Rhinolophus ferrumequinum: one gene and its partners. The protein of the gene in region 4 interacts with the protein of the main gene of each other region in a pairwise test. Links are inferred from orthologs where the notes say so. Each region holds a gene or a part of one and is shown on either strand. Other genes may lie near its edges. The genes, in order: SNX22, BAHD1, KAT7 and DVL3.

Region 1 (7,609 bases), on a different chromosome or scaffold from region 4:
CAGCTGAGTTCTGAGCCTGAGGTGGGTAAGTCCTGGGTATGGAGCTCACAGGACTGAGGCACGTGACTGTCCTGGCAGGTGGTCCAGAGGCCTCTGGGCTGGTCAGGGCATCATCGATGGCAGGGGTGCAGGGTGACAAGGAGCCTCTGGCTGGACGTCAGCTGTGCTGGTGCCGAAGCCGTAGAAGCCCTGGAGCACGCCATTCACCACCACACTGGGCAATGGCTCTGTGGCAGAAGGAGAACAGGAGGAAGGTGTAGGGGGCTGCAGTGGAGGGCGCTGTGGGATGGTCCTGACCTCAGGCCTGCAGCTTCCGGAGCCTCTAGCCAGGCTTAGCCCCACTTGGGAGCAGGAGCCCCTGCCAAGGCAGCAGGTAACAGCTGGTCACCTAAAATGAGGCATGGGCATTCCCAGTTCACATTCTGTTCACATGAGCTTGGTAAAGCCAGGCTGGTAAGGAATGCAGACCAGGGGAGCCAAGCTAATTTCACCATGTCTGCTCCCTGGTGAATACAAAGCAGGCTATGGGGGCACAGGAGCAGCAGGGCAGGTATGGTCCCAAAGGAGGGCAATTAGGAGAGAAGCTGCCTGGAGGTCCTGGGAGCTGAGAAACGGCAAGTTCACCCCTACTCCCGCCCTGCTAACTGTGCCCTAAATATGGGTTATAGGTCAGAAGCACCACCTCACCTGGGGATGGGGTGCAAATGTAGGGATCCATGCAGAAGCGGACGACAGGCCGGTGGTGCAGCTGCACTCTAGGACAGAGGGTCAGGAGTATTGGAGAGGGACGTGGAGCAGTCTCCTATTAGGTGGAGACTAGGAATTGAGATCACCAAGGACCCAAAAAGAAACGAGGTGAGAGGGCAGTGGGCTCAGGAGGCACCAACAGGAAAACCTGGACCAGGACAGACAATACGAGCCATTTTGGCAGCAGGCCAGCCTCCTGACAAATGGCCACCAGGGGGCAGCAGGAGCGGGTAGGGGTAGGGGCTTTGACTTGCCTGCTGTTGCTAGGCAGGAACTCCCCCAGGGTTCTGAAAAGAGGATGTGAGCTGCTGGGGATGCCCGGGGGTTCAGATCTTCACCTCCCAGGGGCCACTGCCTCTTTTTGTAAAAAGCTAATTTCCAGAGGCAGCAGGGGTAACCAAGGCTATCCAGAAAACCACCTCCACCAGGGTCAAGAAAGCTGATGAGGGAGATCGTGTCTCAAAGTAAAAGAACCAGGCTCAGGCCTGGCAGGTGTAAGAAGGAACAGGGCTTGGCCTCTAAAATGTTCCTCTGCTTGCCGCAGAGAGCCCTGTCCTCCCAACGCTGGGGCCCCTCGCACGCCAAGCCATGGCCCCTAGAGGTTCTCACCCCCAGCTGCTGGCCTTGGGGCCGGTGGGAAAGTGCCGAAGACTCAGGAATTCAAGTAGCTCCTTGGGCACATCCTGGTTCAGGTACAGGACGCCCTGGAGAAGAGGACAGAGGAAACCTGTATCTGACCCAGCTATGTGCTGCAAAACACAGCCCAGTGCAAAATGAAAACGCGGAGGTTCTGCCAAAATGATTAAGAATTTCAAGACAGTCAGAGCAAAACATTCATTAACCAAGCTGGGGGCCCGTCTGACACTGGGCCGAGTGACTACACAGGTGTATGCCCATGAGCCAGCCTGGCCTATAATCTGGCATCACTTTGGGGGTCGGGGGGAGGGTACCCACTCTACATCCTCATGAAGGCAGCGCCAAGATCTCAGCCTGGAAGGGAAGAGAACTAGCTTCCAGTTCCATAATTAAGATTGAATGAGGTAACTAGGAGGCAAGTGGTCCCAGTTCCATGAAAGTTCAAGAATTAAACTAATTTCAATTAATTCCGAAATTACTGTTCAGAAAATTGAGGCTTGAGGTACTAAAAAACATGCCCAAGATGTGCACCCCTCTCCCCATGCCCCCACAGCTGGCTGGGTCCCACCTCTAGTCCAGCGGGCTAGAGAGCACGAGAGTCAGACCCACGCCCACCTGGATATAGGCCTCCAAACTCTGCCGCCGCTGCTCCAACCCTCTGGTCCTCCAGTGGGGCAGGCGTTTCGAGGGGAAGTCGGGCACTTTGTATAGTTTCTTGATCTGCGAGGAGGTTACCGCGGGGCGATCCCAGTGTCCCCACTGAGCCCTCAGGCTCACTCCATCCCTGCGAGAGCCTTCCCCAGCCTGTCTCCCCTCCCCTCACCCACAACTCCAGGCTCTACCCGGAACAGTCCCGGGTGAGTGGTGGCTGGGGCAGGGGACCCAGTCTCTCTACCCCAGCAGATGCCCGAGGGTGGGCCGGCCGCGCAGGGGCATGGGCAGTACCGGCCGGAACCTGCCCCTCTGTGTCCACCCCGCAGCCCGTGGGGAGTTCAGTGCCCAGGACCTGAATACCCTCCAGGGACTGGTGCAGTAACGGGGGTGGCAGAGGCTGAGGCCGCAGCTCGTCTGCCCTCCTCCCTGGGCTGGGCAGGAGCCGGGCCGGGGTCGGTCGGTCGGCGGTGCCGCCTCACCCGCTTGTGCAGCGCGTGGAACTCGCTGTAGCGCCTGGGCACCGTGTGTCTGCGTCCGCAGTACCGCACCTCCACTCGGAACACCTGGCAGGCGCGGGCCGGCAGGCGGATGCGCGTGAGGCTAGGCGCCCGCCCACCCTCCCGCGCTTAAAGGCACAAAGCAGCCTCGGAGCGCCGCCGCTCCCCGGGGACCCTCCCACGCTCCTCACACTTTATGTGGAAAGGACGAGAGAATCCGCCCTCCGCTCGGTGCAGTCCCTCATGAGCCCGCATCGTCGCCCGTGGGGCTGGCAAATTCTAGCGCCCCGAGATCTTCGGCTGGCTGTCCCCCGACGGCCTCGGCGGCAGCGCTCGGACGCCCCAGCCCGGGGCGCGGGGTCCCCACTGCGCTCGGCTCAGGGAAATCCGGCGGTCCCTGCACCCCTTCCCATCCAGTGCCCCCGCTCACCATGTGGCCTTTCTCTGGGCTCTGCTTGGGTGCCTCGGCCTCCGGCCCCACCGACGGGATGTGAACTTCCAGCATCCGCGCCCCCGCCCCCGCCCTCAGCTCCTCAAGCAGAGCTGAGAGCCCGAACTCTCCAAGAGCAGCGGAGAGACCCTGAAGGGGGCGGCCCCGCCCCTTCGGACTCAAAGGCCCCGCCCCCAGATGGCCAAGCCCCGGGCGTTCCCTCGCGCGCGGAGTCCTGCTAGGGGCAGATTAGGCAGCGCGCAGGGTGGCGGGAACTGAGAGCTGTCCCCTGAGCCTGGTGGGGCCGCAGTGCGGGTGGGGACCCTTCGGTGGAGAGGCATGTGTTTGTCAACATTAACTGAGCGCCCACTGACTGTGAGGAACGCGGGCGAGCCAAAATTTCCCCTGGTCTTTGTTGAGTGTCTACCAAAGACTAAAGCCCGTGCGCGCTAGGCATGGAGGATTCGGGGCCCAGACCTTGGCGCCTACCTTCAGAGCCAATCAGGAACGTTCCTTCTGTTCCTCACGCCCTTCCCCGGGACCAGGCTGCTTCCCACCCTTTTCCCTCCACCTTCAACCTGGACCCTGAGAGGGTGGCTGAGCCTGGGTAAGCCTTGGAACCCCGTCTGGTTATGATGTCTCCCCTCTCCCAGCATCCACAAGCCCCTTCATTCATTCATTCTTTTAATCCATTCCTTCATCTTTCAGCCCTAACCTGCTTCAGGCCCAGTTTGCCAGCAAGAGGCGGTTTCACAACCTAGGCTCTTCTTTGGGGGTCAGACAACTTGGATTTCCCAAATTGTAGACCTGTGCTCATCTGCAAAATTGGGATAATATACCTCTCTGGGGAGAGTGCCTGAAAATTAAGTGAGATGATCCCTGTTAAGCCCTCAGCAAAGTAGGTGTTAAGAAAATGGCAGCTTGTGGGCTTGTCCTAGAGGCACAGGTGGGTGGTATTGGTGTACAGGGCAATGGATGGGGAAGAGGGCCTGTGGAAGGTGGCACTAGGCTGTTCTTGCCCATCCCTTTGGGCAGGGTCTTCCTGGGTATGGGGCAGGACTCAATCTATAACTCTCTCACCCCCTGTTCTAGAAAGGGCCTCTGCTCCCACCCCTCAGCCATAAGGGAGTTGTCTCATTCAGCAGAGTCCACGCCACTGACTTCTCCCACAAAGGCCTAGGCAGGTGGTAAAGGGAAGGGAGGCCCTGCCTCCAAGAGCTCACACCTAGTGGGATGTCTGTGGTGAGAAGGAAGAAGCAGAGTACCTGTCTTAGGGGGTGAGGTTGGGGAACCACTCACTCCATGCATTGCTAGTGCAGCGGTGCTTCTGATCTGGAGCAGAAATTCTCCATTCCCATTCCCAGCCCTGCCCCCAAGAGAGGCTGAGAGAATGATCCCAAGAGGAGAAAAGGGGGGGCTGGCCCCGTGGCCCACGTGGTTGGAGCGCCATGCTCTTAACGCTGAGGTCTGTGGTTCAATTCCCACCTGAGCCAGTGAGCTGCGCCCTCTACAGCTAAGATTGTGAATAACAGCTCTCCGTGGAGCTGGGCTGCCGTGAGCAGCCGGAAGTTGGCATGAGCAGCCGGAAGTTGGCGTGAGCTGCTGTGTGCTGCCGTGTGCTGCCATGAGTGGTCGGCAGCCATCATGAGCGCCGGCAGCCAATGAGAGCTGCCGTGAGCTGCTGACCTACGACTGGTGACCGACTGCCTCAGCTGACGTGAGCGCAAAGCTCATAATACCAGGTGGGCCAGGGAGCTGTGTCCTACACAACTAGACTGAGAAACAACGGCTTGAACTGCAGTGTGTGGAGGGGAGGCGGAAGAAAGATGGGAAAAAGGAGAAAAGCAGGTCTTATCAATACTATGTCCCACACTTTCTTTCCTCCAATTCCATCCTCACAAGTGCCCTAGAATGAGGAAGCTGAACCTCTTTGGAAGGGAAATGACCCACCATGAGGAGAAGTGCTGGGGTTTCATTTCACCCCTTACACTCCAGGGCCTCCATCATTCAGGGACTTTGCTCTGCTTGTCTTACTGCCCAGGGAGTCCTCTCCTGGGACCCCCAGACTTCTAAACTTCTTGGTCATCCATGCTAACGACTGTCTGCCCCTTTGTCTCTATTCCTACCATCCAGAAAACTGCTAGTCTCCAAAGGGATCTCCCTGTCTTTCCAGGCCTCCCTCCTTCAGACAAAGTCCATTCTATCTAACAGCGGAAACTGTCATCAAGGCGTCTGCGTAACACCTTCCAAAGGCTTCCCACAGCACTTAGAACGAAACCCACTCTCCCTACCACACTCTACAGTACTCTAAATGACCCCGCCCAGCCTCCATTTCTCGTCTCACCTCCTGTCCTCCCCCTCCACGCACCAAGCTCCGGCCACAATGACCTTCTTCCAGTTCTTCAAACCTAATGAGCTTTTTCCCGTCTCAGGACCTTTGTATATGATGGTTCCTCTCCCTGGAACACTTTTCCGACTCTACCTGGTAAGCTTAGCCTAAAACTTCCAATTCTTAGCATAAATCTCAACTCCTCAAAGAGGCCTTCCTTTCTGACCACCCTATCATATCACCTCATTCCAATGTGTAGTTATGTCTGTTTATTGTGTCTCCTTGGTTTCCTTGACTCTGCCCCAGACTCTGAGCGACATCAGGCCAGGACCTGGTGTGTCTTCTCAGTGGCTACCGCCATGGTGCAGGGCATGTAGTAGACACAAAGAATACATTTGTGGTTGAAAGACTATATCAATGAATGGGGGAGGGAGGTGGGAAAAGGCTAGGGAGAGGAGGGAAGACTGGGAGAGAGGAAGGGAGCAGGGGTTGCCGGAGGGTTAGAGGAAGGCGGGATAACAACAGGAATACTCTTCCCACCTTCAGAGTTCCCTCTCTCTCTCTCTCTCTCTCTCTCTCTCTCTCTCTCTCTCTCTCTCTCTCTCCAGATTGTTCTTCACCTTACTCATTTGCTTAATTTTCCAGTGTTCCTGAGAAGCGTCAAATCAATAATGGATTTTCATCACCAGTTGTGGAGGGAAATTTGATGCAATTGACTTGAAAAATGCCACAGCATTCCATGATAAACGAGTGAAGATCAATGAAGAAAAACCAGATTCTTGACCTGGAGACATTTTAGATGTCTTTGGGGAGATAGAACAAGTTATGGAGAATACTTTCCTGAAAGGAGGAACACATGACATGGTGGATACCCCACAGCAGCGGTTACAGTCAGAGGTAAAGTTTATTTTCTATACACTTTAAGCATCGCCCCCCCATTCAGTATGTGAACACTGAGGTAAGTTCCAGGCTCTTCAAAGTGACTTCCATTTTCAGAATGAGTTGTTTTACTGTATAAATTCTTGTCTTTCCTCCATCACTCTTCAACATACAAATTTAACGTCCAGGCTTCTCGGTGAAAGTTGGTTAAAAGTACTGGTTGGTCACATTTTCTTGGCCAGGGTATATAAGGGTCGGATGATAGAACAGTGGTTCTTGAACTTCAGCAAGCAGCAGCATCACCAACATGGCCGGTTAAGTCTCGGAGGGTTAGAGGGCCCTGACCCATTTTCTGAATGTGGAGCCTCACATGTGTGCTTCTCACAAGTGCCCCAGTGATGCCAATGCCCCTAGTTGGGTACCACATTGTAGACGCAGGTCTCTCGACTCCCCAAACAGCCCCGCCAGGGAGTGGGGCCACTCTCGCCCCACTGTGCAGACTTGGCACCTAGAGATGAGAATCCTAAGAGAGAAGGCCTAAGCAGAGGGCAGGAAGGACTGGGGACGGTGTCCCCCTGACATACTCCCACTGGGGGTGGTGGCTGGTAGTGGGGTGGCAGGCCGGTGGGTTGGACCTTGGTTCCCACTCTGGCTTGGGCCCTCGCCCTCTGCCACCATCACACAAAGCCCCTTTCACACTAGAACCACTTCTGCTGGGCTGCGCAGCTGCTCAGGAGGTTTGGTTAACCCTGTTAAGAAAACAAACAGCTCCTGGGCCTTGGGCTGGCGGGCGCTGCTGGGCACAGAGGCTGGATTCTTTTCTCCAGGCGGGTGGCCAGAGGCAGACTGGCCCCAGAGGGAGCCCAGCCCCGCCTCCCCCCAGTAACTGGACTGCTGGGCCTGGACTGCTCCACCCAGGACTGCTCTGGTTACCTGGGCAACGTTGGACGACACCTTGTGCCTCAGGGTCCTTATCTGTACCGGGGAGAGTTGTGTGGATTAACTGACATCATGCTTTTAAAGTGTTTAGCATGGGACCTGGCTCGCAGTAAATGAATGTTAGCTATCATTATTTGACTGAATTCTATGAATTTGCTGTTTTGGAGGCCAAAACTGTGGGCTATTGGCAACTACATGTGATTCATCCTGTATATTGTTACTGGTTCAACTTTGAAACAAGAACAACTCTACTATTCCTCTTTCAGTATCCTGCGATCGCAAGGTTAGCTTAAAAAAAAAGAAAACTACTATTTCAACTACTAATTCTGTGATCAGGAGTTTCCTGATTTTCTCAATATTGTGCAACCAAAGTAAGGTAAAAGAATACATTGGAAGCAGAGGTTGGTGTAAATTAGCAGCTATCCTGTTCCTGTCAGCCCCGGAGTACTTACTGCTTGCCTTTTTAATAAGTGTATCTTATACATGTGAAATAATGGC
Region 2 (7,733 bases), on a different chromosome or scaffold from region 4:
AGAGGATGGATGCAGAAATTTATTTTTTCACTGTCTAGACTCACACCAGTCACCAGTCCCCTTTCCCATTTCCCCCATGGTCCTGGGTTGATGGTAAACAAAAAGGGAAGTTCCGAGAGCGCTGGGATCACAGCTTTCCTTTCTGATGGGTCCAGTGTGGGGCTGACAGTGCCTCCTACAGCAGCAATGCCCCTATAAACACCTCTTCCATCACGAGTCCCCAAAGTACTGTTCACAGGCCAGGCCCAGGAATCTTTTTTTTTGTTGTTCTCAGAACCGTGTTTTCTCCCTCATTTACACCCGGGATTGAGAGGAGATAAAACATATGGATTCATTTAACATGGACAACAAGGAAAATTGCATAAGAGCAGCAAAGCCGGGTGGAGAGAATGGTTTGGTGGGATAGGAGGGAAACAGAATTACAGCCCTTTTCCAATTCATGTCTATATGGTGTCATGTGAGCAATCCACAGGACAGACTCTTCACTAGCTGTGAAGAATGGTATATCAGGATGGTATTTCTGACAGCTAAATTTCATTTGTTCCCCATGCTAAAGCACCCCAAACATGCCTTATCTATATACCTTGGATAGAAAAGGCTGGAAACCACCAAGGACTCCATACTGAGGATTTCTGGGGAAGGGGAAGGGAAGGCTTCCCCTCTGTTCCCCACTGCATTCATTCATTTAACACAAACAATGTGTACACCACTCTACCAGAAACCCTAGAACATTCACACCCTCCTCCCCACACACAGAGGTTTAACATTGATACTGCCCCCGTCTACAGAACTACTTCCAACCTACAGAACTACTCAAGACACCATGTTGTAAAATTCAGCGTCACAATCTCAGAGGCAAGCAATGTTGGCCTGGAGTGGCCCGAGTGACAGTGAGAGGAAGGATGAGTAGGGTTCAGGTGGAGGGGAGGAAAGCAAGGGGCTCCTCGTGGGGGACAACTGGGGAAAGCAGCAGGAACAAAGATGCAGGGAGACAAATGTGCATGGCATGGATAGAGGAGAGCCAGAGGGGATGTGTCTCAGGTCAGACTGCGGGAAAAGGAGAGCCACTGCAAGTTTGCGGGTGGGGAGTGACAGTGCTTTAAGAAGAATGATCTAGCAGCTGTGTACAGACTGTATCAGAAGGACCGGAGGAAGCAGGAGCGGGAGGGAGAGCATGACAACAACACAGGCCTGACATGGGACAGTAAGGCAACAGAAAGGAAAGGGAGGGAGGGAGAGACATAAAGGCGAGACCCTCTTCACTGCCTAAATGCTCCAAAGCAAACCCTCCTAAACACTTGATCTGACTGACAGACTCCTGCCAGGTAAGAGCCTGTCAAAGAGGGAAACCATTGTTTTGGCAATTCCCCTTTATATTCCAGTGGCCAGACCAGGTCACCTCCTTACTGCCACCTAATTAATCACACACTGTGTAGCCCCAGTGAAGGCAGGAGGGCCTTGAGATTCATCATTCTCTGAATCTTAGACATACAATTAAATTCTCTAAGAACAAACTTTAGTCTCCTGCATGAGGTAATAACTCTCTTTCCCACAAGCCTCAACTCCACCCAGGCTGGGGTCTAGACCCTCCTGGGGAGGGGGATTGAGGGCGGCCATGAATGAACTCAATGCCCATACTAAGCAAGGCTGAGAGGCAGCTTTCCCAGAGCGAGATTACAGCCAACCAAGCTCTTAACCAACACCTACCTGAAGTGGGACTCCAACCCAGGTTATCAGCTAAAGTCCACATTCTAAACAGCCAGAGTCTCCCTGCCTTTGTGCTCCCAATTCTTCTACTATGGGTTCACATGACGAGGATCGGGAACTCTGAGTGGGTTTTTACAAATGGGACAACTGCATCGAGTTTAGAGCTGGTCACTGGTGGGTTTAAAGACACTCACAGCTTAAGCCACTGGTTCCCACGTGTCCTCCAGCTGGCCAAGGACAGCAGTGTCCCTCCAGGACATGTGGTCCCTATGGGGTCGTTTTCTCCTTTTTCCGGAAGACATGGGGGTGGGGAAGGTACAGAGGAAAGTCTCTCAGGTGGCACAAAGGAAAAGGACTGAAAACCTTTTTTATTTAATCATTAGATTCTTGCCTGAATTTATAAACTCATTTTATTTCCCTATGTGGAGACCTTCTTCAACTAAAGAAAAGTGCTGAGAGCAGTTGTGGACAGATTGCTGACACACATTAGGGGGTGTCTCCCAGTTCCCAATCCAACCGGTCTCTGCCCTCTTAAAACTGTCGACAATGGGTAACGAGGAGATATCCCAGGTGAGATTAAACCTCTGCCAGTGGGCAAACTGCTTGCTGAAACCCCTCACTCCTGGCAGGCTCTAGAGTGGCTCACCGGACTGTAGCCTTGGTGAGTTCGGCAACCTGGTCGTCACCAGCCAGGCCCTCCGTGTGCACACTCTCACCTCTGCCCCTGTGCCCCTCCACCCTAGCCGGGTCGCCCCCACTCTTCCCAGAACCTCGGGGCGATCGGCAACTGGAGAGGTGAACCCGTGCCGCAGCTCCTCTCGGCGGGCGCCCCGGCCCCCGCAGTCCCCGGGGCAGAGTCCGGCCCGGTCGCCCGCCCCTCAGGGTGGGTGGCTCGGACCGGCTCCCCTCCCCGACGCCACCACCTGCGCCCGCTCCGGCGCCGCCTTTGTCCGGCGCTTCACCGCTAAGCGGGCCCCTCGGGCCCGACCTGACCCGGCCCCCGGCCCCAGAGGACCGGCGGCGAAGCGGGCAGGGCAGGACCAGGCCGGGCCGCGAGCACGGGGTCCCGCTGTCACTTGGAGGCGGTCTGACAACTTCGACTCCCCCCGCCCCACCTCGGACTCGGCCGCCGCTCTGCACTGTCCCCGCCGGGCCTCCCGCGGCCCACACTGGCTTCTCGAACCGCTTCCCTTCCGTCTTCGGCGCCTCCCTTCCTCTCAGCCCGATCCGGTCCGGTCTACACTACCCCCCGCCTCAGTGCGGCCCCCATCCCCAGCCCCCCATCCAGCAATAACCGGTCAGCTCCCAGCGCGGGAGGGCGCCCCCAACCCTGAGCGGGCGATCCCGCGGCGCCGCCCCCGGCCTCGGCCCCTAGCCTCGGGGACCGCGATGGGGGAGGGGGCGCGGCGGGGGGGAGTAGTGGGGGGGCCGTGGCCTCGCCGCCCGCGCACTCGGAGGTGAGCCGGCTACGCCGCTGCGAGGAAGCAACCGGCGTCCTCCCGCCCTCCGCGGCCCGGGACGCCCGCGCCGCCGCCACCCGGCCGAGCTGCCACCCTGCGGCCGCCACCCACCCCGCCCCCGGCCAGCGAAGCGAGCGGCCCCGGGGGGCTGTCACCTCGAGGCGTGCCGCGCTCCCCGATGGCGGGACCGTGGCGCCGGACCTAGGGGAGGAGGGCGGCGCGAACGAGCGAGCGGGCGGCCGCACCTGCTTCGCGTCGTCCGTCCGTCCCTTCCCGGGCTGGCGGGGGCGGCGGCTCGCTCGGTGGGGCGCGCTGACGGGCGGCCGGTCCTCTCCCCTTCATTCGTCTGCCTCCGTCGTTCGCTCTGTCCCTCCAGCCCGCTCGCCCCTTCCCCCCTCCTCGACCCCGGCCCTTAGCTCACCAGGACGGCGGCGCGGACGGCGCGGCTCTGGGCGCCCGCAGGCCCCGGCCGGGCTGGAATCCGGCGGCTGGAACCCCCCGGGGGCGCTCAATTCCCGGGCTCCACGCTGCTGCGTCAGCGCCTCCTCCTGGGGGCCGGGGCCGGGCGGGCGGAGCGGGGGCCGCGACCGGGCGGGGCCGTCGGGGGGGCGGGCGCGCCTGGCCCGGGCGGGCGGACGGCGGGGGCCGGACGGGCGGGGCAGGCAGCCGGACGGGCGGGCAGCGGGGGCCGGGCTCCGGGATCCGCTACGCCGCTCGCGGTTCCCCCACAAACTCCCCGAGAGCGGAGCCTCCGCCGCCCTCCTTCCTGCTTCCTCGTCCCCAACCAATCAGCGGAGCGCCTCTCGTCCAGCTCCGCCAATCAGCCGCCCCGCCCTGCGCTGGCCCCGCCAGCCAATCCGGTTCTCGGCTCCCCCTCCCAGTCTCCGACCAATCAGAACCGTGGGTCGGTCGTCCCAACGCAGGGGGCAGCACGAGGCGGCTGGGGGAGGCGGTGCGGGGAGTGGTGGGGCCTGGGGGGAGGGGTATGGTGCCAAGGGTGGTGGCGGGTGGTGGTTTTCTTTGCCGGCTTCTTGGGTTTTCTCTTCGTCTGCAGAGCCTAAGCCCGTATCCCATGGTGACCCGACCCTGAAGCCCCAATCCCCCAGCTGCTACCCCCCCTCGAAATCTTATCTTGCCGCCGCCCTGGCCGTCACCCCTCTACATCCCTCTTCCCCTTCTCCTTCCTAGCACCTACTGGAGAAAACTGCGGACTAAGGAACACCCCCACCATCGCCAGCGACTGCTGCCCCCAGGGCAAAGCTTCGGGAAGACCAGACGAAAATCAAGCGAGGACAACCCCCCTTTTCTGCAGAAAGGGCCCCAGACTCCAGCGAAAGGGCCCCGACTGCTGAGAAGCCCCTCCCGCCCTTGCCTCATCTTTCCGACTTCCCTGCCTGCCACGTCTCCTTTCCTTTCAAGCAAGGTCGGTCCTGGCTCGGTAACCCCTCGCCCGCATCTCTTTTTCCTCTTTTCCCCCTTCACCTACCGCCCCCAACTCCAGCTCCTAATCCACCCTTCTCAGAAGCAGAGTGTGGAACCCTCATCCATTTCCAGCTGACAGCAGAGCTTGGTCTGTGAGTCCTTGACACCCACATACCCTCTTCCACCACCGCAGGGAACATCAGAGCTCTCCCCGGGAGCGTGCGGGGGGAGGGGGCGGCAGCCTGACAGCCCAGGCTGGACTCCCTCCCTCGCGTCCCCAAGCCAGGATGGGACCAAGCGTGGACACTTACCTGGCTTCCTGCTAGTCCCCGAATGCTGTGGCTCCGTCTCACACCCACAGACGTGCCTTTCCAAGCCCGAGCTTGCTCGCGGGGTCAGCGGGGTGGGTGGGCACAGCAGGCTGAGGTCACACGGAGGTGTGGGAGGTCCTTGTGAGGTGCAGGAAGGGGCTGTGTCTTGGGCACCTTGTAATGCCACAGCCTGCATAGGGCTTCACTCCAACCAGCACTGGATGTGCATGCACGTAGTAGGTTCTTGAAAAATGCTGAGTCCACCCCAGAACAAAGCCTCATTTCCGATTCAGGTGGGGGAGGAGAGCTTTGGGAGGTAAAAGGAGCAGCAGCAAAAAGGGTAGTGTCAAGTCACCAGAGCGCTGGAAGCAGCCCAGGGAGGGGCTGGGCTGAGGACTGCCTCCAGCAGAGAGAAGCACCTCCAGTGCACGGGCTTCCTAGGCTGGAGGAGAAACCCAGTCTTGGAATGTAGCTGAGAGGCTCTTCCTGCACCCCACATGCTGTCTAGCCTTTCCTAGACCTTGAGACTCAAGCACTCACATGTAGGCAGCCTTTTAAGACAATCAGGGCTGCTAGCCCCTGTGGCTGGGAAATAAAACCCTAAAGGATGATTCCCCATCTGCCTCTAGAGCTGTCAGGGACCCCTGGACAGTTTTAGGTGTGTTGACGGACATGTTTAAAGGAGAGGGTCACCCAGCAGGGGCAGTGTGTGAATGGAAGCTAAGACAGTGACAGGGAAACTCAAAGAGCCAAGTTCTCCCAGGATAACTGCCACAACTTCTCCCACCCATCTGGAAAGCAAAATCCCCAAATCTATAAAAGTAGGACACTAAAGATTTCTCCTCTCCCTGATCTTCCTAAGACAAAGATTCCTAGTAGTCCCCCGACCATCACCAGGCCAGCCCTACCCCCCACTTCACAAAATGCACCCTTCCTGCTGTTCCCAATCTGTCCCATGGGCTGATGTCCCCCACCCCCCTATCAGAGACTGGTGGTAGAGGGTCACAGCAGCAGTGGCCACTGGCAACCTGGAGCCAAGACAGAAGTGGGGACAGGGTTCCTGTCAGCAGCTCAGCATGCACTGACCTTGGCTTCATGCCCATTAATGGGCAGGGATTGAGGCCAAAAGGGTCAGAAGAGAAATGTACCTAGTTACAGGGAAGGAGACCCAAGTGGCAGGGAGCCTGTGCTTGGCCTAGGAAGTGGTCACAGGGTGTGGTTGGAGGACTGGACTTTCCCCCAGCATCTAGGAGTGAAGATCCATCAGTCCTGGGTTGAGAGGGGTGTGGGGGAGAGAACTGTCTTTATATGGGGCCCTGGTGGGAGGGGGGAAAAAAAGGAAACCCTGGAGAGGAGGCAGAGTGGTCATGAGAGCCCATTCCAGCCTGCCCTGCTTGCCCTGCCTGGCAGCTGCAGGAATTCTACCCTCAGAGCCTCCTCCCCGATGTGGGTGGCTGTCTCCTTTGCCCCAGGAGTCTCTGAGTGGGCTAGGTTCTGAGGCACAGGCTGGCTAAAGGCACTTGGTGTTCCTCCTATGCCAGCCCACTGACCTACCCCTCCCCCTTTGTTAGAGCTGGTCAACAAGCCAACAAAAAAGAGGCCCTGGGTTGCAAACCCTGCCTATCCCCCAAAAGACCTTTCCTCTCCGATCGATTTCGAGACCTCTGCAACTGGGCCACCTTGCTTCCCAGTCCAGAGCCTTGTACACCTGGAAAGGGCTCCACCTCTTCTTCCTACAGCTACTCTACCCCAACCTTCCCTAAGTGCTGCCCCCACTCCACTCCACCAGGGCAGTTGTGTCAATGCCTGGGGCCCATCACCCTGCTTCAACCTGGCACACCCTGCAGCCCAGAGGTCCCCCACAGAAAAGGGTTTGTGGCTGGGTCGGGAGAGAGGAATAGATACATGTGGTCTCCAGGGCCATCCCCTCCCTGCCTCCAGGCAAGGGCCTCTCTCTATCCAGGTGCCTGTAGACCCATCAGGAAGGGTTAACTGCCTCAGAGCAAAGAGGGAGATGCAAGAGAGGAAAACATCCAGGGCTTCGAGAAAACACGCCGCACACCCCTCCCCCACCACCTACGACCAGACTGACAGCCGGGACAGACTGGCTGCTCCGTCATCTCCAGTTCGGCCACCAGGCACCTCCCCCACTGCCCGCCGCAGTCCCTGCAGACTGCTTTCTCGGTTCCAACCACCTGGCACCAGGCAGGGCACCCCAGCGGGGCAACGCAGTCCTTGCAGTGGTTGGCAGTAACCACTTTCCCCTTTCTTCATTCTATGCCCTGGTCCCATCTTTCCAAGGTGTGGGCAGCTGCTCCTCTGCCCCCTTAAAGTGCCTGAACTCTAGAACCCAGGAACACTTACTAAGCCACCTGGCCTCTCAGCCCCACTGGACAAACGGAAGGGCACAGCTCCTTGGGGGAGGGACACCAAAGCACCAATTAAATGCGGCTGCAGCACTTGCCCCCTCCCCCATCCTAGGAAGCCCCCGGGGGTGGGAAAATAATGAAAGCTGGACTTTTATAGTCCTTTTATCTGACCCACTCCTTCTTAAAGGGATCGGAACCCCCTCCTTAAAGGGATCTCCAGAAATTATTTGCCCCCAGGCAAATGCAAGTGCAGACGTTTGCTTGTTCTTTACCTTCTGGGGCCCCTTCCCTAGGGATGGGGGAGGCAGAAGTGCTCTTCTGGAACTCTGAACTGGAGGGGCAAGGCCCCTTCCTGCAACCAAGAAGCCAGCTGTTGAATGCCCAGCAAAGCACAGGACCTCTTCCTCCTTTAATGGCACCCGCTGCCATAGCCTGGGGGAGGTCAAGGTGAGGCCAGGGCCTGT
Region 3 (7,597 bases), on a different chromosome or scaffold from region 4:
CTCCAATAATGAGTTCAAGGGACTACTTTAAGTCCCTAAGTCTAAACCATTCTAACAAAAGGAAAAGATAACATCTAAAAAAAAAAAATTAAATGACTCAAGACAGACATACAATGTATCATACATCCATTATACCAGACATAGTTCCTTTGGGTCTACAAAATGGACAGCAACCCCAACGGGACCATTTTTAAAGACCTGACACTTCTGCAGTCATTTCCTTTGCATTTTACCAGATTCTGTCACTACATCAAGCCAAGGGACCAGTTTCCACATTAACCAGCACAATATGATGACCAGTCAGTGAGTTGTGAGACATAGTCAGTAAGAAGGAAGCCTTTACCTTGAGAACTCTGGCTCAGCCGGGCTGAGGAGCGGGTGACGCGGGCAGATCGCCGGGATGTGCCATCACTCTCTGAACTGTCTGTGTGCTCGAGATCTGTAGAAAAATCGGAATCTTCGGTTCCATCTGAACTACTGCCTGCATTCCTCTGTAACACCATAGATCCAGACATTAGCACAGAAGCATTTACTCTGTGGGTTTATATTAACACTGGAAATAAAACGAACTGTGATGCCAAAAACACCAACTTCAAACCTAAAAAAGGATTCCACAGCCAACTTCCTGTTATTTAGAGCATTTAAGTGGAACAACCTAGAAATAACGTACCTTTATTAAATAAATGAAGGAGAATTAACTCTTGCTGTATTAAGACAAATTTAATTCTAAAACAAGTCTATTTGGAGGTCAGTATTACAAACTGGAAACAAATGTACCCAATTCAAAAAGGTATGGCTGCCATAACTATGGACTTACAGAAAGTCCAAGGTACTGAGAAAAATGTTAGACCCCATTTAACTTTAGGGTAGCTCTGGTTCAAAGTCTCCATGAACAGTCATCACATTTTAAAAAGCCATATACACTGATTCAAAATATCATGGTCACAACTCTGATCCCAAAAGAACTTAAGCATAAAAAGAATAAAATTCTTCTTTCTTATGTTATCTATATTTGAAGTTTCTCCACGAGTGCCAAAGGTGCTTACAAAAATAAAAACAAAAAAGGCAGCTTGTACACAAAGACTTGTAGGCATTCAGAAAGAGGATTTTTAGCTTCCTTAGGCATGATTAGCCATAAGCACAGTTTTTATCAATTGAGCGTTAACACTAAACCAGAAAGGAAAGCTTATTTGCTAAAAAAAACAATACAGAGCTTCAGATTACAAGTCTCCTATTCTTTATTCAAAAACCTTAGGACTTTATTTAGAATTTCATTATTTTTTAGATTTTTGGAAAGACAATACTTTGCATATATCCTGCAAATAACAGCCCATAATTAAACACATTAGTATTCCTGCAGGAAAATATATAATCACACTACCAAGGAGACCCACAAAAAATATAAGTAGCCTCCGGACAGTTTAGGACAGGTTTTGCCACCAAATAAGTTACAAAAAAACTTCCATTTTCAAGAGTTCTTTGTATTTGCGGGGGGGGGGGGGGGGGGGGGGGACTGTGGACCTATTCCAAGCAAGGCACCAATACTATTCCTGCATTTGGTGAGCCTTAACATAAGCACCACCTAGCAATGTAGGTCATTTTAGAAGACATTAAAAAATATATTTTATTTGAAAGCCTCTGTGAAAATAAATATTTCTGCAGAAATGAGCAAGAATACTACCCAGCTTTCCAAATAGTTCAAGGGTAATCTGCCCAGAAATGAATGGACATCACAGAACATCCAGAGGAAGAAGGGGGGGGTTAAAGGTCATCTAGTCCAATTACCCAGATACTTGAATCCCTGATTATCTCTGACCATCCCTTCCTGGCTCCATCCTGGAACTCAGCTCTTCTCTTCAGCTTCCACCAATCTACTTCCCATCTTACTCCAGAGCAGACTGACTTACTCCCTCACTTCCCTCCCCTAACTCTTTGTACATATACTTCTAAGTAGAGAATTTACTGGATCTTGTTTTCCCCCATCAGACTGTGATTTCCTTAAGCCAGGGATCATGTCTAATTAATTTCTGAACCCCCAGCAACCAGAACACTGCAAGTAGTCAATAAACATTTGCTGAATTGAATCTGTTCTGCAGTGCTGGCTCTGCCACCGCCTAAATGAGTGGCTTGGGACACTCCAGTAGGCCTGTTTGTTCAGCGGCAAAGAGATGGGGGTGTCCCAAAGAGATCTCATAAGTCCGGTATAAGTTTCTGAATTTACTAACTGCATTTTCTAGGGCCTGTCCAACTAAGCAAATAAGCAAAAATTACGGCTTAGATGCAATAGGACAGAGTGGGATCCCTTGGGAGTGGGCGCTGGTTCTTTGCCACCCACTCTTCTGCTTTGTTATGCCCCCCGCCCGGAAAAAAAAAAAAGAATGCTCCCAAACTCCGCCTCTCCACCTATCAGCATCAGCAGCCAGAAGGGCGTGGATTCGTGCCATCCAATAGTGGTCCCGCTAAACCGCGCCCCCACGGGACAGACTGCCAAGCCCAGCCAATCAAGAGAGGAGAGATCGCTCTCTACAGCCAGTCTGAAAGTCGAACAGCCTGGCCCAGACACCGCCCCCGCACGCGGGGAGGTGACCGTTGGGCCCAAATGGGCGGTGTCATCAGCCAATCAATATGCTTCTAGACGTTTCAGCGACCAATTAACGAGAAGAACGCCTCCGAGCCAGGCAAGCAGAGGGCGGGAATAGTTGCAAGCACAGGCCGAGGCCAGGGTCGGGCCCACATTTTTCTGTTGGGTATGGACAGAAGAGAGGGTTGCCAAGCTAGGTTCCGGGGAGCGGGAAGTTGGAACCCAAGGAGTGTGAGGCGTGGCCAACTGCGTCACGTTGCCCAGTCGACTGTCCTTAGAAACCCGCCATCCCTCCTGTCCCGTTCTTACCTTCCTTCGCGGCATTGCCGGCGGCTGCGGCCCGACGGTTCCGATTCGGGCAGCGGCGGCAGCAGCAGTAGGAACGGTGGCTCCGGCGGGCTCCGTGGCGGCCACGGTAGCAGGCCCAATCCTGCGGACGATCCCAAGTGCCTCCTGCTTCACAGCGTCTAGAGCTTTCTGCGCAGGCGCCGCGGGCTGAGGCGCTTTTTCCTTCACTTCCGGCTGAGGCTCACGTCACCTGACGTTACGGGCCAGATGGGTGCTGGGAAGTTCGCTCCTTCTGGTGAGGCTAGTGAGCGCCATGCTGGAATTGGGCACAAAGTAGAAACGGGGGCCAGCCATTTCTAGTTAGGGGAATGGCACCCTTTGTGGACGTGAGTAGCCATTATTGTTTGGGGCAGAAGCCTGACAGTTGAAGTTAACTCTTCTCATCTTTACCTTGGGCAAAATTTCCCTTCCCGGTTGTTTTAATTTCTGAAATCGAGGCAGGAAACCCCCAGAATTCATCAGGTTGTTGAGATTTAACCCCTTCGTTGCCCAATTAGCTAAAGGATGTTTCCGTTTACCATATAAACTCAAAGTTGAGATGGGATATTTTGCACAAGAAACTATTTTAAGAACCACCCCGTGTCTCAAAGTGGTAGGAATGGGGCCTTGTAAAAGGAACAAAAGGATAGGGTCCATCATCAGGAAGTTTCTTGTCTGGTAGAGGAGACATTGTCCTTGCCCTTAGCGAACAGCAAGTAAGTCGTTCACGTCGCGGAAGGAGGCAGAACCATTCTCCAGAAGTTGTAGCTCCAAAGAATTCCCAGTTCTGTGGTGAGCGGCCACCTCCTTCCCCAGTTCTTATGGGTTCGAGAGCCCTGGGTGGCCCGCGGAAGGTGGATGCGTGGGGTGCCGTACCAGAATCGAAGAAGCAATGAACCCCATTTAGCCCAAATGGCCTCTGGAAATCCAGATGCTTGAGGCAGGAGTTGGGGGAGGTAAGAAGAAGAAGGAATAGTTTTAGTGAAGCTGAAGCTAAAAGAGGCATGTGTATTTAAATAATAATAATAGAGCCTGCTTTGAGAGGGCCCAAGAAGGAGAATCTGGTTAAGGATGTAAGGCTGGATGCAGAGCCTTAAGAAAAGGCAGGGAAGTGGAGAGCAGGCTTTGAGGATTTAAACTCGTTGGAGGAAAAGCCTTGAAAGGACCAAAGCTTGACCAAGAGCAACTGGGTGAAATCCAGGCAAGCTCAGTCATTAAGTTAGGATCCTGGACCCCGGTTTCACCTGAGGCCAACTAAGATGGAGATTTCCCAAAATGCAGAGCTAAAGAACAAAGCAGCAGGAGGTAAACATCTGATTGATGTGCTAAACAGAGTTAGAGTTCCAGGCCCTCAGCCAGCATTCTCCTTGGGGATATCCTAGGCAGGTTTTAACCCAGGCGGCTTTTAGTGTTTAGTATAAATACCTTCGAATAATCTACTTAGGTTGAACTGCACATAAGAACTTATTTGAAAAAGGCTTGAGTTGCTTGTTTGTGTATCCCCCACGCCCAGTACTTAAGCATTTAGTTTCACACTATTACTGTTATTTTGCACTCACTGGTGTGTTCCTGAGCTCATTCTTGGATGTCTGGCTCCCCAACTAGTGGTAAGGAGCTCTTATGTTAAGAGTATTTCTTTTCTTTTTTTTTTCAAGGAGGGCGCAGCTCACAGTGGCCCGTGTGGGGATCGAACTGGCAACCTTGGTGTTACTAGCACCACACTCTAACCAACTGAGCTAACCGGCCACCCCGTTAAGACCATTTCTCAGTTCTTTCTTACCATCCTTAATAGTGCCCACACCATGCTCTACCCACAGTAAGTGCTTGCTGGTCAATCAGAATGTTTACTGTTTCACAGTCTCTGAATGTATAGCACTCAAAGATGGTGAATTTAGTATTTTAGAATAAGATCGTACCCTAACTTAACCATTCATCATACAAATACCAGTCTTATAAATGTTTGACATTAGTTAATCTCTTTCATTAGATTTTCAAAACTGCAGCTAACAGTAAAAGAATTTACAGTTTCATTTAGACATGATTCTTGTCCTTGGAACGTGTACACTCTGGCGGCGTGAAAAAGCTAACACCAATAGGATAGAAATATAAGGAAAATGTGGACTTGAGATGAAAGCTATATATTTAGAATGGGGAAAGGGGAATCCTGAGAGCTATTTTCTTTCTTCCTTTCTTCTTTTGAACCAAACATAGTCTTTACTTCGAGTGTCCTTTTCGTCATGACACAGTTAACTCTTGAAGCCGGAACTGATACTGGTTTCAAAGGCTTTGACCAGTGCTCTTCTGTCCATCCTCATCTGCCAGACTTCACATAGGTAGCTCTGCTGTTCTTCCTGCCTCGGTACGTTTCCCAACCTTCTTTAAAATTTACTTTCTTCAGAAAGTCCTGATTTATTATTTCCTAGGTAGTAGAGCATGCTATGGTATTTTGCACTTACTGCTACATTTACACTTTTTCTCATACAATTTGGTAGCTCTTCTGTTCTCCTCTGTCCCTCCCAGACAAATAATAGGAACATAGAACTCCTATTTGTTTATTCATCAGCTCTACTAGTGTCCAGTACAGGGCTTTGATGTCAGACCTGGATTTGAATTTCAGCTCTGCCACTTTCTATCTGCATTGCTCTTGGACAAGTTTTTAAATTTATCTGTGCCTCAGTTTTCTCATTTGTGACATGGAGACACTAATAGCCACCTCACAGGGTTGTCGCCAGGATTAAAGGAGATGATTGTTGTAAAGCACAGTTCCTTACCAAGTAAGTGCTCAGGAAATGGTCGTTGTTATTCATATTTATTATTCCAGTCACCCTAGTCATGGCTATGACATCGTAATGTTTGTGAATATATCTTTATATGGTCTCAATGGCTCTTTGCTTTTGTCTGTTCTACTTCAGCTCAAGAGACACAGAATAATTACCCAGGCATTGTATACCAGGCATTGAGTCACGCCACTGAGGACAAAACACCATGCTTCCCCAGGCCAGTAAGCTCTTTGTTCCAAAACACTATGGAGTATTATTAATAGGAAAACAGAAGGATGAGCAAGCTTCGGAAGTGGTGCAGAAGAGGGAGTGGAGTGTTTTGACTGGAGAGTTTAGGAAAGGATTGATAGAAGAGGTGAAATAAGAGTGGGATTTTATAGGACAAGTACGTTTACCAGTGGACAAGGAGAATAGGGGCTTTCTGTGCAAAGGAAACAGCATGTGTAAAAGCACAGAGAAGTAGAGCAGCATTGTGTGTTGTGCGAGTGACTAACGGCATGGTGGAGTTGCCAAAAAAAGAGACAGGAATGATTTGGGGAACAAGTTCATGCAGAGCCTTGAATGCCCTGCTAAGGAGCCTGGCCTGGAGGTGATGGAGAATCGCTGAAGGACTTTAAGCAGAGGAGTCCCACGATCACACTTGCACTTCAAAGATCTCTTTCTGGAAGCCGTGATGGATACTGAACAGAGTGGCAGGGAGTCCTGAGGCCAGGAGACCGGTTACAACGCTGCTATAATAACATTCCCTGGAGTGGAGGGAGAACTGAACAGGGCAAGGGTAGTGGGGCCAATCCTTTGGGTATGTCCTTGTGCATTTTCTTTCTTGTAACTATATCTTGTCTCCTCAGTTACATTTGTGAACTCCCTAAAAGATCCCTCAATTTCCTTTCAAATGCTCCCCTTGCCAGTAAAATGATAGGTCCCATATTTCAAATAAAAAGTGTAGTTGTTCATTGTTTGCTTCAAAGGCCTGGGAGCTCATGGAGGTTGGGAGCCTTGCCTGGCTGGCCACACTGTCTCCAACTTCAGTCTCGCAGCCTGGCATCTAAAAGGGCTCAGTAAATGGGGTGGCCACTGCCACGTGTTGGCTCAGTTAGGAAAGACTTGCACAGAACCAGCCATCATCTCTCCTCTAAGCCTCTTTTTGACTATGTGCCTAGGGGGAGTTAGGAACAACAGTTTCCCTGTGGACGGATAACTAACTGTCCTGTAAGGTGGGCACGCATGCCTTGACCTTTTTAAGACAAAGCTAGAGTAGCCAGGCCAATCTCGTAACTTCTGAGTACACGTATGGGTGTAGTCTTTATCCCTTTGGGAGACTCTTAGAGGTTGCTGATGTGACCACAATTCATAGTAAAATCTTTTCATCAACATAGTCATGACGGTCACTAATGGTCCTTCCTTTTTTACTCTTGCCATATATGGCCTGGGACTTCTCTTACCTTCTTGGCCACTTGTTCATTTGGTTCTGGTATCACTCTTATCCACCACGCACCCCCAGCCCCACCCTGGGGGAAGGTGTTGGACAGAGCCCAGCAGGCTCAGGCACAGCTCCCCGCCTCTGCAGCTGGGATTATAAATAACCACCAAAACTAAACAGTCAAATAACTGCATTTTGAAAATTGCTCAAAAAAAAAAAATCACTCTGATCCTGATTCAGTAGCTGTTCTCCTATTCCTGCCCATCATCTCCCGCCTTCCTCCACCATCTACCTCCCTTCCCTGATCCAAGCTCCCAAGGGAAGTCAATCTGCATAAAGCCGTGGTATGATGAAGACATCTTTTTCCATATTTGACAGGGCCAAAGCCCTCCAGGGCTGTAGTTATAGTTACACGACGTTGTTATGGCAGCAGAGGCCTCAGGGCAACATATGTTCCTGGGTGGTAATTGGGTTTGCTTTAACAGACGG
Region 4 (7,514 bases):
TCATTCGTCGCTCATGCAATGAAAAAGCCTTTGCTGAGATCCCAGCGAGTTTTAAGCCCTGTGCTAGCCATTGCATGAACCTCAAGAAGCATCAGACCTGGGGCCTGCTTTATTCTCAGAGGTTACAGTCACATAAGCATACCGCAAGTGGGAAGTGGTCAGAGCGGTCACTGGACAGACATCTGCTAAGTGTTACTCAGGTGTCACGTCCTGGCTAGGAGCTGGGGAGGTGTACAGATAAATAGGGAAAAATACTACAATGAGTGACCCAACTTCCCACCTTGCCCTCTCCAGCTGCTCGAGGCCACTCTAGCCGTGGGTACCTTGTTCTCCCATCCACCCTCTCCTCAGGGCTGAAAATGTTTATTCTTCCTCTATTTCCCAAATCATTTAAGAGGGTTGGGCCTACCCTGAGCTTGACAAATACTTCTGGAGACCAGATGGGACTTGGAGAACCTCGCAAACCAGGACCTCAGAGGATAAGCCTGGAGAGACAGCAGCCTTCCTTCTCAGACCCCCTTTCCCGTCTGTCAGCAGGGGCCACTGGCCTCCGCCTGACCCTCCTCTCAGGGGGCTAGGATAAGTGGCAGCCCTATCACCTCTACCGTGTGCCGAGGCTCAGCATCTGCCCCAGAGAGGATGCGTTTGTAAAATGGTGATAATAATAATACCTACAATTGTGTGATTAAAGCCTTAGACGTTGGAGCCAGATTCCTGATGTGGAATCAAGCTCTGCCACTAACTAGCCAGACTGTGTGACCTTAGGTAAGTTATTTCAGTTTTCTGTGCTCTAGTTTTCTCATCTATAAACTGGGGATATTACTACCTATTTCATAGGGCTATTTAAGAGGATTAAATGAGTAAAAATTTGGAAAGCATTTAGATCAGTGCTTGGTACACTGTAAGCACCATAAAAAGAGTTTGTTAAATACATATATATATATATTCCTCTATTATTAGTCTTCTGTGATAAGATAACCCTATTAGATCTCTTGCTCATTAATCCTTCTGGGGAGAAAAACAAAATCAATCTCCTCCACTTCATTTTTAGCATTGTTCTCAACCCTGTTAAAATGGCCTACTCTGATATTTTGCAAAGGATGGTTTCAGTACGTGATGTATGCAAGATGTGTTCAGGTGTTACCTGAATGAACATGTAATTCAATAGTAAATATTTATTTTTAACATATATTAGAAAGAAGTATAATTAGAAAATCAGACCTGTGATTTCATATTATTGATTTGGTCAAGCTAAGAAAGAGTGAGTGGGCTGACAGTAGATTTAAAGAACAATATTAAGTCAACGGTGAGCGGATGTAACGGGGGCCCTCCTATGACTGTAGTTAGGCCTGGCCTGACAGCAACCTGGCGGAGTGGGATCTGCCCGGTGCACTGGACTTCGCTAATTTGCCCCTATCTCATATCCTGAGGAAGTATCTTGGTCTCTTCTAACTCTATTCTTCTCTTACCAGGCCAAGGCATCTGCCCCCTCACTCCTACCCTTTGCGTATGGATCCCTCTTCGGAATCTTCTAATCAGCGGTGTCTGTCTCTGGACTGAAGCCAAACAATCATTAAACACCAGAAGTACCCCAGGGTAGGAATGACAACAGAAACAAGAATAGTTAGAAGCTGCACAGTACTTCCTACTGTAAAACCAATTTCACACATATGGGCTCATGGGCTCATCAAACCCTGAGTTGGGGGGTGGGAGGGAACAGTGACAGCAAAACATGCCAGGCAGAGGGGAGAGAAGGTGCTTGCTTCCTAATACCAGGAGGGCTGAGGTCCTGGGAGAGAAACCAGACTGATGAACACTGGGAAGAAGAACGTCTCCCCTCACTCAGCTCTGGGGCCTCAGCTGCAAAGAGCAGTGCAGGCCTCAGGCTATTGCTGGAGAGGCTGCCTTTAGGCCTGGAGGGCTGGGGCAGGCCTTCCCCACAGGCCTCCAGGCCCAGCGCCCAGTTAGTATGGGGGCCTCCTCCTCCCCCAGTACCCTGGGAGTTGGAGGGGGGTGTGAGGGGATAAGCCAGGCTCCCCCTCCCAGGCCAGCTGCTACAGAACCTTCCGGCTCCAACATTCCATCCCCTCTTAAAGGGGAAGTTGCTGCTTCCAAACTCCGCCTGTCCAAAGCCCTGCAGCTGAGTGAGGAGAAGACCCCGCCAGGGAGCGAAGATGAAGAACGCCAAGAGACTCTTCCGGCCCTCCCACCCAGGCTCTGAGGCCCTTTCCAAGGCCACCATCTGGAGGAAAAAGGCCCCAATTCTGAGGGGAAATCAACATCTGGGCTAGTGGGGACTCCTCATCAGGGGCTCCCTTGACAACATCCCACACAACCCCACGAGGGAAGGGGGGCAGCTAAATAAACATCAGGTCTGCAGGCCTTAGCTTACAGCCTAGCGCCTGAGCACCCCCGCTCCCCCTCCCCCCAGTTCAAAGTCCCACAGCACAGCCCTGAGATGCACGGTACTCCAAATATGGCTCGGAGCTGTGGAGCTGAAAAGATGGAGAAAGCGAAGGCCGAGTGCCAAACTCCTCAAGTCTGTGCTAAAAACGTGGCTCCCTGGGCAGGAGAAGGATGGGGGACTCGAGCTCTAGAACTGGGTGGAGGGGTGGGGGTGTGTCTGTCTATGTGGACCGCTGGTCTCTGAGAGGTGAGGGGACTTCCTGGGCTGGAACTCTAATTTATCTTGGGGAGTTGAACGTCCTCCTAAACTAGGGAGGCCAAGGTACCTCACAAGAGAGAAAGGAGAGTCCCTAGAGAGGCTGGAACTCCAGCATCTGAAAAAATCAAGAGGAGCCCAAATGGCCAAGTCACCTCCTAGAATCCTGAGTAGGGCTCGAAGCCAGTGTCGCAAGGGAAGTCCAAACTGGCCGAGTGGCCCCTAGAAGCCGAAGGGGACGGGCTCCCCGGGAGGCGAGGCGGGGGGCCATCCTCACCCGAAATCGTCGTCCATAGACTTGAAGAAGAACTTATAGCTGGGTCTCTGCAGAACGCCCTTAAAGTCCGCCAAGGTGACGCGCTCGGCGGGCAGGGGCAGCTTCACCAGGTACGGCGTCTCCTGCCCGTCCAGGTGGTAGATGATCTTGGTCTCGCCCATGGCTCCGGCCTCTGGCCCGGCGGCCCGCGCACGGCCTGCTCGGGCGGCCGGGCCGGGCCTCTCGGGCGGCGGCGGCGGCTCTCGGCGCGGCCCAGTGGCTCAGCCCAGCTCCGCGGCCGGCCACGGCGCCAGCTCCCTTGTTCTCCGGCCGCTCCCGGGTCCCAGCGCCGCCTGCCCCTGCCGCCGCCGCCGCTTCCGCTCCCCACTCTCCCGGCTCCGCTGGCGACGGCGACTCTTCCGGTGGCCGCGGCCCTCCCGGCTCTGGGCTGTCGCCCGGCCCGCTCCCCTCCCCGGGCCCCGGCGCGACCCCGCCCCGGCGCGGCCCCGCCCCCGGCCCCCGCCGAGCCGCGCTGGCCTCGCGGCAGATGGCCTGGCTCTCGGCCGGGCCCCCAGGACACCCCGCCCACCCGCCGGGCGGCGAGCTCTGACTCCTGCGCTCCGGTCCCTGGCCGGCGAGAGCGTGGCAGCGGTCGCCCAGGGCCCCAGAGATGGAAGGATTGATCTCACCAGGATGATTGCGTTCCTGGACTCTTCAAAGCCCAGGCTTTGGACCCAAGGGGATCGGTTGCTCCTCGCAGCTGGGAAGGGGTGTAATGCAGGGGTCTCTTTGGTCCCCAGAGGTAGGTGGATGGGGCTTCTGACCAAGTACCACTGGGGAAAGTGATCTTGACATGGACCTTTAGGGTCTGTTAATAAGCATAAGTAGCCATCATTGAGTCTACCAAATTGAGCTCCTTGAGGACACTATAGGATCGAGTGCTGATTCCTTCTTATAACCTCAGTACCTAGATGCAACGCAGTGGTGGTTTAATAAATGGATTGAACGCAGAACGAGTGCAAGAATGAAGATGGGTGCATTACTGGGACAGTAAGTCTCAAACCAGAAGTAGGTATAATCATTTCTAACAGATCCCCTTACCCCTTAGCTTTAAATTTGTTTAATAAATATTGAGTGCCTACTATGTACAAGGCATACTGCATGAGCTACAGCAAATAGAAGACAGGTAATGCTGCCCCGGACCTTTACTTATTTGGAAAGAGGCTTGTAAATAAATAACTTCAGAGTGACAAGTGCTATGAAAAAGATAAAATAGAGTGATGTGATAGTAACAGGGGAAAGAGAATTATGTGTGGTCAGAGAAGGCCTCTTCCATTTGAGCTAAGTCCTAGAACAAATGAGAAAGCAGCTATAAGGTCTGGCCTGGGGGAAGAGCATTCCAGGCTGAGGGCACAGACAAGTCTAAAGGCTCAAGGCAGAAATAAACTTGCCAGATTTGAGGAACCAGAGGAAGGCCGCTGTGACTCCAGGGATAGTGTTAGATCAGTCTGGGAAGGTAGACTGGGACCATCTCACATAGGTCCACACATCAACAAGTGTGGGCTCCTCCCACTCCATTTTGTACAGTTGCCAAATAAGCATTTCAACAGTAAGTACCTCTTCAGCTCAGAAACCTCTTCACATTCCCTAATGCTTTCCAAATATCCTGATCATGATATCCAAAGCCCTCCATAATCTAACCTCTACCTACCTTTGCGGCCTTTTATTTCATTATGTCCTATCTAAAATTTTGACTTCAGCAAATCAAACTATTTGCTAGCCCCTGCACACATGTATATTTTTATTTCATACCCTTTACTTTAAATTCTTACCAAAGCAGTATGTGTGCATAGTCAAATAGTATTAGGAAAGTTTTTAACAGCTGTCCTCTGTCCCATTTCCCTCCCCACCCCAGTATACTTTTTTAGTTTATACTATCTCTTGAATTATGCATTCTAGACATCGCTTATTGATTTCCAATCTTGACTGATGGATTTCTTTTTCTTCCACCTCCCCCTAACCTCTTAAAATAGTAAAATCCCACTTTTTTAAAGTCAATATAGTACTTAGTATTGACATTTTGACTATGAATAAATGCTTCCTTTACAACTTGTTTCTCGTCATTAACCATTGCCTTGCCTTTTCATTTGCTTTGCTTTTTATGTAATATAGTGTATCTATCTATTCTTTCCACATAATCTAATAGTTTCTCAATACATATTTTGTTAGCTCAGTCAAATACAGGCATATGTCAGAGATACTGCGGGTTTGATTCCAGACCACCATAAAGCAAATATCACAATAGTCACACAAATTTTTGGGTTTCCCAGTGCATAAAAAAGATATGTTTATACTATACTGTAGTCTGTTAAGTGTGCAATAGCATTATGTCTTAAAAAAACACTGTAGATACCTTAATCAAAACATACTTTATTGCTAAAAAGTGCTAACCATTATCTAATCCTGTTGAAAAAAATGGCACCAATAGACTTGCTTGATGCAGGGTTGCCACAAACCTTCAATTTGTAAAAAAAAAAAAAAACCAAACCCAGAATGATCTTGAAATGCAATAAAGTGAAGTTCAATAAAATGAGGTATGTCTGTATATTAGATAATCTATCCATTTTCTTCCCTGGAGCCTTCAATTCTGTTGCTCTAATCTGCACTGTTGACTATCTTTGCTTGTGCACAGCAGCCACTTCTCTGTATCATACTTAAAATTTCCTTTACTTCTGCATGTTGGTTCCTCATTTCCTAGATACTTTACTCCTTTGCTTTAGGAAAGCACATTCTCGGTAGCTTCCCTTGAAAGCATGGGAAATAAAATTTTTGAGAACTTGCAAATCTGAAAATGATTGAGTTAAAAGTAATTTATCTTCAGAATTTTGAAGGTTCAGAATTTATCTTCAGAATTTTGAAGGCACCACTGTCTTCTAGCTTCCAGTGTTGCTATGAAGTGATCAGTTTCGTCTCTTTATTATCCTAAGCCTTTGAACACGATTTGTTTTGAATTCCCTGGAAGTCTTTAGGAAGTTCTCTTTATCCTTGGGTTCTGAAACTCCATGGTGACATGCCTTGGTGCTTATTCACTGTGCTAGGCACTCTTTCCATCTAGAAATTCAACCATATCTTCTTGAATTACTTAATAACATGACTACCATTTCCCCCATTGCTTCTGCAACTGTTAGATGTTGGACCTTCAGGATTGATCCTTAATTTTATTTTCTCCTTTATCATCCATTCCTATTTTAAAATGATTTCACCTTTTTGCAAGATCTCCTTAATATTATTTCCAACCTTCCCCCTATCCAATTGGATAGGTAAAATATTCATAATTGAAAATTCAAGAAGTGTGTAAGGATGGAGAGTCTCCTTCCTGTTTGGTTCTCTGGTTCTCCAGTTCTCAGCAGAAGGAAACAATTCATTTATTTTTAATTTCTAAGAACTTTTTTTGTTCTCCAATTCTTCCTTTTTATAACACTTTCTTCATAGACACAGTATTTTTCCTCTTTGAATTTTGAAAATAGCTTCCCCCCAGGCCGCACCAAGTTTTCAAAAAAGCTCCGTCTTGTCAGTTTCCTTGGTGTCAATTTTTTGGTCTCTGCCTTCCACACTGGAAGTTTCCTCAAATATTTGATGGCCCTTGGCCGTCCATTCACATTTAAGAGATACCAGAAAGCTGACTGGGAGCTGTTCATGTACAAGGCTTATTATCTAACAGGTTTACTGTAGGGTGATCAAGTGGGGGAAAGATCGCTTTTTTCGAGGAAACAAAAAATGTATTTGTAGGCTTTTTCTGTAGTTGTTGTTTGCTTTTGCCTGGGGATATAAATCAATGTGTGCTGATATTTAGAGCCCTACCACTCATATACTTCCACTTAATCCTTCATTTTCAACCTAGCTCCTCACCCCCATCCCCACCATGTCTGTTGTTAAGTCTAGAAGCTCTAATAATTTACATTTCCCCTGAGGTTCTGGAATATCATGAGGTTCTGAATATCATTCATTATGCTGGGCACTCATGGGCTCTGTCAGTCTGGAAACTCATGATCTTTGGGTTTAGGAAACCTTTGTATTTCTTTGATAATTTCCTCCCCACCGTTTCTCCAAAGGCTAAATCTCCCATTTCTTGCGGAGGAGAAGTAGGGGTAGTCACCCTGCTGGATTATATAAGGTGGGGGTTGGGGGGGCTTTTTCTTATAGAGGTCTTTGTCTGAATCCCCTCCACTCGATGCCTGTTCTTAGACCGTCTTTACCCTCTTCTGCTGAGCCTTTTCTGGGTTCAGAAAGTCATGTTGGTTTGCTTGTTAATAGCCATCCCAGTAGGTAGAATCCATTTCCTTCTGCTCTGCTAAGTCAACTCTTCCATTTTTCATTTTCCAGAATGTTGATATCTCTCATTCATTGTCATCACCTAGTTTTCCTTATCGAGTCACATGCCTTTTAAAAGTATCCTTTAGTGGCATATGAATGGGGTTTTGGAGGGAGTAAAAAAACCCATGTGTTTAATTTGCCACATTTAAATGGAAATCCTTTGCTTTGCCTTTAAAGTTCCCTTCTACCCTGTTTTGGGTCACTCAAGCATCACAGTCCTGT

The links.
Region 1: the proteins of DVL3 (region 4) and SNX22 interact in binary tests that used the Homo sapiens proteins (3 or more experiments, as listed by UniProt). The two-hybrid records come from large-scale screens. The link is inferred for Rhinolophus ferrumequinum from reciprocal best matches to the Homo sapiens genes DVL3 and SNX22.
Region 2: the proteins of DVL3 (region 4) and BAHD1 interact in binary tests that used the Homo sapiens proteins (3 or more experiments, as listed by UniProt). The two-hybrid records come from large-scale screens. The link is inferred for Rhinolophus ferrumequinum from reciprocal best matches to the Homo sapiens genes DVL3 and BAHD1.
Region 3: the proteins of DVL3 (region 4) and KAT7 interact in a two-hybrid assay, tested with the Homo sapiens proteins (2 studies listed by BioGRID and IntAct). The two-hybrid records come from large-scale screens. The link is inferred for Rhinolophus ferrumequinum from reciprocal best matches to the Homo sapiens genes DVL3 and KAT7.

What each region holds. Positions count from the first base shown.
Region 1 is NC_046289.1:46,349,122-46,356,730, forward strand, and holds the start of SNX22 (sorting nexin-22), read right to left. Parts: upstream 3,099-7,609; 5' UTR 3,040-3,098; coding exon 2,965-3,039; intron 2,601-2,964; coding exon 2,517-2,600; intron 2,104-2,516; coding exon 1,999-2,103; intron 1,452-1,998; coding exon 1,357-1,451; intron 1,035-1,356; coding exon 1,002-1,034; intron 756-1,001; coding exon 688-755; intron 228-687; coding exon 103-227; 3' UTR 1-102. UniProt on the Homo sapiens protein: May be involved in several stages of intracellular trafficking. Interacts with membranes containing phosphatidylinositol 3-phosphate (PtdIns(3P)).
Region 2 is NC_046289.1:64,615,500-64,623,232, forward strand, and holds the start of BAHD1 (bromo adjacent homology domain-containing 1 protein), read right to left. Parts: upstream 3,517-7,733; 5' UTR 3,510-3,516; coding exon 3,413-3,509; intron 1-3,412.
Region 3 is NC_046304.1:33,631,011-33,638,607, forward strand, and holds the start of KAT7 (histone acetyltransferase KAT7), read right to left. Parts: upstream 3,097-7,597; 5' UTR 2,906-3,096; coding exon 2,891-2,905; intron 492-2,890; coding exon 344-491; intron 1-343. UniProt on the Homo sapiens protein: Catalytic subunit of histone acetyltransferase HBO1 complexes, which specifically mediate acetylation of histone H3 at 'Lys-14' (H3K14ac), thereby regulating various processes, such as gene transcription, protein ubiquitination, immune regulation, stem cell pluripotent and self-renewal maintenance and embryonic development.
Region 4 is NC_046285.1:60,962,596-60,970,109, forward strand, and holds the start of DVL3 (segment polarity protein dishevelled homolog DVL-3), read right to left. Parts: upstream 3,310-7,514; 5' UTR 3,101-3,309; coding exon 2,940-3,100; intron 1-2,939. UniProt on the Homo sapiens protein: Involved in the signal transduction pathway mediated by multiple Wnt genes.